Drosophila melanogaster: one gene and its partner. The protein of the gene in region 1 interacts with the protein of each later gene in a pairwise test. Each region holds a gene or a part of one and is shown on either strand. Other genes may lie near its edges.

Region 1 (3,436 bases):
TCTTGGCAAAGACTGGACAGCAGCAGGTGCAATATGTGGGCCACTCCCAGGGTACCACTGTCTATCTGGTGATGGTGTCGGAGAGACCCGAGTACAATGACAAGATCAAGTCCGCCCATCTTCTGGGACCAGCCGCCTATATGGGCAACATGAAGAGCCCCTTGACCCGCGCCTTTGCACCCATTTTGGGCCAGCCCAATGCCATCGTGGAGGTCTGCGGATCCATGGAGTTCATGCCCAGCAATAAGTTCAAGCAGGATTTGGGCATAGAGATGTGCCAGGCCACTTCTCCTTATGCCGACATGTGCGCCAACGAGATCTTCCTGATTGGAGGCTATGATACCGAACAGCTGGACTACGTAAGTATCTGGAAATGAACTTGGTCCTATAAATTATATTTCCATGTAACTTATAATGCTGCTCTCCATTTGGTCAGGAACTCCTTGAGCACATCAAGGCCACGTCTCCGGCTGGCGCATCGGTGAACCAGAACTTGCACTTTTGTCAGGAATATAACTCTGGAAAGTTCCGTAAATTCGACTACACCGCTCTCCGTAATCCCTATGAGTACGGCAGCTACTTCCCTCCGGATTACAAGCTAAAGAATGCCAAGGCCCCGGTTCTATTGTACTACGGAGCCAATGACTGGATGTGCGATGTGAGCGATGTCCGCAAGTTGAGAGACGAACTGCCCAACATGGCGCTGGACTACCTGGTGCCGTTCGAGAAGTGGGCCCATCTGGATTTCATTTGGGGCACTGAGGCCAGAAAATACGTCTACGACGAGGTCTTGAAGCAGATGCAATCCTACGAATAGATTTATTTTTCAGGCAATAAACGGAGCATTTGAGCTAGCAAATTTCGAGATTGATTAGTTCTCCTCCAACTCCAAATCCAGAACGTACGATAATATTTTAGTCTCTTCATTCTTGAGGGTATACTTTATGCGATAGAAGCCCGGACTCATCAGCTTTTTGAGCAACTTGACATTGAAGGGATAGTCCTCTAGTACATAGCGTTCCTTGGGCAGAGGACAGCTGCTGGGATGCGGGGCATTCGAGTATTCCTTGATCCGTTCGTAAAAGATATCCTTGTAGTAGCTCTTCATAAAGTCGCAAAGCTGCATTTCGAATGTCAAAACCTTCTCGTAGTCTCCATCGCTATCCGGGGATCTTGAAACCTTAAGCACAACCTGTTGAAGGAATAATAAATAATTAATTCCTCCACTATATATTATAAACTACGTACCGTCCAATCATTGTCGAGTCGTTGATTCAGATCGAGATATCCGCTGACTTTCAACTCATTTTCCTCGGACTCAGCGATACGCAGACGACTGCGCAGATATGAGGTATCCTCAGTCACCTTTTCTAATTTCTGGATCCTGAATGTCCTTTTAGCCTGGACTGTAATATTACTGGTTAGGACGATAATTGCCAAGACCGCCAGATAAGAGACGGGACATAAAGAGGAGCCCATTACGATACTTTGACGACTGATGGCTGATCATTCGTTGTCATTGGTATATAAGGATTTAGATAGATGATCGCTTGTACCGGAAACGAACTTGTTTCGGTTATTCCCAGAAATGGTTCATTGATATCAAAACGCGATCCCTTTGTTTTATTAAGCTATTGCACAGTTATATTTAATTGCCAACATCACGAAATATACGATTGAATTCACTTTAAGGACGGTACACCTATGAAATAATTATTACCCTTCATTTTCTTTTAACTGATTTAAAAAAAAAATCGAGCTGTTTTAAATTCTGAGCACCTTATTTTAATCCTTCTTACGTCTTGGGATAACATTATTAATTTTAATTTATTTGTTTATAGAAAAACAAAGACTATTTACATTTCGTAGAAACCGTTTGTCCTTTTTTTTATTTATTTATTGAATGGCCGATTTTACACATAAAGCAACAACAAACAAATGCTTAGCCATTGTTAACAAAATATTTATAATTAGTAACAGCACGACAATGACGATGGAGTACGATAGAGTCAACCTTTACCTTCTATGCCCACACCAATTAGCACAGAATATATTTAATGGTCTACCTTCTGTTTAATTGCTCTTAGCTTAAAGTTTGTTCAAAATCCAGTACAAATATACATATTGTTATACGCAGTGGAAAGATATTATGTTTACTTTAAACAAGCAAATTGCGAAAAAATCGACACTATTTAAGCATTAATATTCACGGTAAATGAATACATTTCTGTATTTTATTAAAAAGTATATATTTCGGGATAGCGGGCATTGAACGCTTAACAACAAATATTTTGCTAGCATAAAAGCATCTTGGTTAACAACTGGAACGGGCTAAAGCTAAGTTATGTTCTACACGGTGAACGAATTGCTGCTGGAATGTTGCATTGCTCAAGGGAATCTGCCAGCCAGCCAAGGAGAATTATTGCCTAGTTAAGGTATCGATTGGCATCGCGGCTAATTCAAGGTGCCAAACTTGAGACGCAATTGCTCCAGGAACACAAAGGTGATGATCGTGTGTGGACCCAGACGCACAAATGCCGGCACATAGCCCTTAAAGAAGCCGAGGGGACCCAGTTTCGCCGTGTGCTTCACGATGTCCCACAGGCCATTGAACTCGCCGGGTTTCGCGTTCATGGACCGCGTCTTCAGCACATCCAACGGTTGGGTGAGAGTGGTGGCTATCGTTCCGGCCACCAGGGAGGCGGTGAAGTGCGTAACCAGGTTGTCTTGGAAATAAGGCGTGGCCAGCAGGTAGATCTTCGTCTGGTCGTAAAATGCAATTTGGCCAATCGTCATCAGGATTCCACGGGCAGTCGCTGCGGTGGCTCCAGAAAAGAGTCGCTTGAATCCCTCCTGGCGGTAGACCCTAACCAGTCCATCGAAGGCATTATTGTAGCTGAAATACAAAAAATCAGTAAGTTTAAAGCCTCAAAAATGATTTACCCTGCAAACTACTATTTAAAGGATTAAAATAATTTTCACATACTTGCGTCGTTGTTGCGGCGGTAGTTTTACGTCGTTCTGCATGCGCACATTGACCATGTCAGCCGGAGTTCCAACGATTCCTCCGACGAGACCGGATGCACCTGCCAGGGCCACCTTGCCGCCAAAGCTGTCCGTATTGACGTACTTCTTTCCGGCCTCATACACCCCGAATCTCGCAGTGGAGTATGTCAATTGGCGCAACACTGAGGCGGAGAGGCCGTTGTAGAAGACGAGTACTCCCTGTTCGCGGGCGAGTTTAGGGATCAACTGGGCCACCGACAGGTGACCCTGTTGCGTCTGCAGCGTGACCTTGATGAGGTCGAGCGGATGGGTCACCATGGCCGCACCTACGCTCGCCAATCCGCCAAAGAACCACATCGATTTTCTCTCTTGGTGGGGCATTTTGCGTGTTAGTTATCTTTAGCTAGAAGGTGGTAAAAGATACAAATAC
Region 2 (3,932 bases), about 12 Mb from region 1:
TTCCATAAATATACTCACAAGTAAATTTTTAGCAAACGGAATCTTCACACTCACAGTCACCTTCATAGCGTATTCCATTAACTTTAATTGTTTTCTAATTTTACAAAATGTCGGTGATCATTATTCGAATTTTAATGAATGGTACAATAAGTTACTTAAGACTTACACTAAGTTACAGAATATATCGCTGAAGGCACTGGCAAACGAAGATTCCATTATATCCACGCACCCATCAGATATTTTATTTGCCGCCAAAGAGTTAATATTATTTATTTATTATTAAATTGATTGCATTTATTCCCATTGATGCCCCCGAATAGTTATCTCTTTTTAGTTTAAAGTTAAGATAAGGCATGCAGTATATATTAAGATATATACTTATATGGGTATGTGCATTTGACGTATGCGTTCAGAATTAGTTTAATAAGCCTTCGACTGAAACAAATTATGTATATAATAACAATAAAGTGTATGTACAAAATGTAAGGGCTAACTGCCAACATAGGTTATGTATATATTTAAATTTGTATGTATGTATAAATTGAGACTTAAAATAAATACCGTTTCCTCATACTTATACTGCAAATACTTATAAATCTAATGCAATTTGATTTTTCCATTAAATGTGCACTTATTTTGACTTTATGTATCAGAAAGAGTATCTCAATGCGGTATGTCAACAAATTGTTAATTTTAATCGATAATTACGATTTGAGTACGCTTGCAATCGTTTATTTATTGTGTAGGTTTCATATTTAATTTAAAACAATCCATTCATTTTAAAATACAGTTTTGTGACAAATAAACTTGAATGAAAATTGTTTAATAATAAATAATGATATAGTTATAACATACAGCAAAACGGAAATTAATCAATACAAGTAGATGTAATCTAATAAATTATAGTTAATAGAAAATTTATTTAAATATGTGTAAATCAAACATAAATACTAAAGGCTACTTACTTTCTAAACTGTGTCTTTTAATAACACAATAAAAAAGTATTAAAAAAGGGATGTGTGATATTATTTAAGGAGAATATTGAACGGATTAGCATTTCTAAAATGATTATTTTAAAGTGTACTTAGCCAATTTTCGCAATTTATAATATGATTTGGTATATTTACCAGGCTGAAAGCTTTTAAAGCAGTTCTTCTTCTAGAATGCTGATAGTTTTCTCGAGATTGAAAGCTTTTGTTATTTTTTCTTTAGTGGACGGCGCAGACGCATTAATAGTTTAAACAATAATTAAACGACGAGATTCATTGAGACATTATAATCCATTTTAATAACAATAACAGTGTTTGACAGCATATACATAGTTCTTTGGATTAGGGGTAGAATCAAAGAATTACAATTAGAAAGGTGTTCCAACAAAGGTGTTATGTACATTACGTACGTTTTTAGTATACAGTCGCAATCAAAAAATTAGAAGTGATCCATAAATAATATATTTATATGAATTACATCGTTTTATGAAGGTTAAAACAATTTTGTGTGCGAATAATCATCAGCAAAGAACTATGCAAGTTCTCCATATAAGGTATGTGCTATTCTTTTATATTATTGTACTTCGTGAGCACTTATACATATAAATAAAAATATTTAAAAAAACGCAGTGAATTCAAAACTTGTGTTAATAAGTTTAGCCTGATCACCTTTTAGTCTATATATTTTCTATTATCTTCATAAGATAAGGGTGCAATGAAAATATTTACCACAAATAACGGACAAAGAGTACTCATGGAAATTAGTGCAAACACACAGATGGAGAGTGCAAATAATATAGAGTGGAATTGTGTTATTCTCGGTAGATTCGCAACCCAAAAGTGCAACCAGGTCCACGTCCGTATCAGATCCGCTCACGCACATGCGAATGCGAGAAGGTTGGCCAAATACACGCACACACACTTTCGCAGGAGGGAATGTTTATGGGAGGTAAATAACTGGTTTTTATATAAACACACGGGCACATACACACACACACACGCAGCCACGTGGAGGAGCCGATTTGGAAATGTGCATCCTGCATGCTGAATATCTAGATCCACAACACCACCACACACATACGCAGCCCGCGAAGAGGGACGCGAATGATGGTCAGGACATCAAACCCGTTAAGAGAGCCGAACAGAGCGAATTTCGTGAGCAGGACATGAGTAACAAGTTGTTGCACTGGTGGGTGGTGGGTGCGCGCGCGAGAGAGAGAGAGAGAGAAAGGTGAGAGTGGCGCTTTGCTCCGATTGGTCGAGAAAAAGCGAGAAAAACGTCATGCCGTTCTCTTCGCCGCAAAATCATCGGATCATCTCGGCGGTCGCCGTTCGCCTGTCGCCGTTCGCAGTTCGCAGCTCGCCTTTCGCGGAATCGGATTCACAATCACATCCTTCTGCGAGTTCGAGGAGTGCACACCGGTGGTCGCATCCGCAAAGTCCGCGCTTCGAAACCGCTATCGTAATCGCAATCGCTATCGCCAGCGCAACCAGAAATAGAACCATGGATATCTCCGCCTACCAGCACATGAACATCCGGATGAGCACGCGCGGCAAGCGTCCTCTGAGGAACCTCACGCCCAACGACAAGGTGCGTGCCATCCAGCGCATCCACAATGGTGAAACCAAGGCGAGTGTGTCGCGGGACATCGGAGTGCCGGAGTCCACGCTGCGTGGCTGGTGCAAGAACGAGCAGAAGCTGCGCTTCATGTGCCGCCAGCTGGGCCCCGATCACCTGGGTCTCGACACGCCACCGGAAAAGCGCGCCAAGTTCGAGCTGCAGCTCCAGCTGCCACCGAAGTTCGTGGCACTGCCTCCAAACTACGAGGAGCTGGGCTTCGGTGCACTGCCCTACAGTCCAGCCGATTACCCAGTGCAAAATGAATCCCTGCTGGAGAAGCTTAGCCTTGTGGAATTTGTAAAAAAGAACGGTGGATTGCATCCGGAGGGTGCACTGCATCCGGGTCAGGCCGGCGTGATGGACTACTCCAACAACATGCTGCACCAGCTGAATCTTCTGGCCCTGCTCAACTCCAAACTCACCCCACAGACTGCCGATGTCCTGGTAGATGCACAGCCGAAATCAGAGGACAACAAAGTGATTGATTCGCCCGCTGCTTCCGAGGATTACAGCAAAAACAATTACCCCTTGCTGAGTGTTAAGAACTGGGCCAAGGATCCGGCCAAGCGGGTGAACTCCGCCAATCAGCCGGAGCAAGTGAACGATAAGAACAACAATGCCCTGGAGGCCAACAGTTCCGCACCACAAGCTCTTGTCACGGAGCAGGCGAAGACTCCCATGTTCTCGGACACCACAATGCCCCTACTGCCAGCACCCTTCCCGAATCCTGCGGATCTAGCGCCTGTGATAGCACCAGTGACTCCGGCAAACGCCCCGCCCACTGGAACCGATAACCAGGGAGCGGCTCTGCTCGACTGGTGCAAGCTCTTCAATGCCAGTTTGAACTTCCTGGCCTTCGCTGCGGCCGCAGCCTCCATGCAGCCCGGCGGCGGAGGACCAGGTGGACCCAGCTACAATCCCAACCAAATGGCCAGCGGCGGATCGGAGCCGGATCTCGAAACATATCCTTTCAACGAGGCGCTACTAAAGCGACTGAGTCCACTGGCGCACAGTGAGGCCTCCAACGAAAGCTACTGCGACAGCGAGCCGGAGGATCTGTCCGTGCGCTCCTGCGCCTCCAAGGCGTCCAGCAGATCCCACACTCCCGACAAGAGCGTCGGGTCCAGCGACGCCGAACAGTAGACACCCTACATTATAGCATAGTTGTAGTTGTAGTTCATAGTGTAAATACATCCATTTTTATTGTTATTAGCCACCTTTAGTATTAATGAAACTCGAATCATTTCGCAATGCAAATGCCATTTGTACTTATCAATTAACGTATTAATATCACTGCAACAGGTATTAATAGCTCAGCATAC

Evidence for each region.
Region 2: the proteins of CheA87a (region 1) and danr interact in a two-hybrid assay, tested with the Drosophila melanogaster proteins (one large-scale study listed by BioGRID).

What each region holds. Positions count from the first base shown.
Region 1 is NT_033777.3:13,367,712-13,371,147, reverse strand, and holds CheA87a (chemosensory protein A 87a), read right to left. Parts: upstream 1,501-3,436; 5' UTR 1,480-1,500; coding exon 1,249-1,479; intron 1,193-1,248; coding exon 872-1,192; 3' UTR 818-871; downstream 1-817. Other genes in the region: Lip3 (lipase 3), read left to right, coding at 1-359, 437-817; Dic1 (dicarboxylate carrier 1), read right to left, coding at 2,455-2,896, 2,987-3,387.
Region 2 is NT_033777.3:25,135,740-25,139,671, forward strand, and holds the start of danr (distal antenna-related), read left to right. Parts: upstream 1-2,332; 5' UTR 2,333-2,493; coding exon 2,494-3,753; 3' UTR 3,754-3,932. UniProt on the Drosophila melanogaster protein: Probable transcription factor with a role in the retinal determination (RD) network. Regulates ato expression and is required for normal R8 induction and differentiation.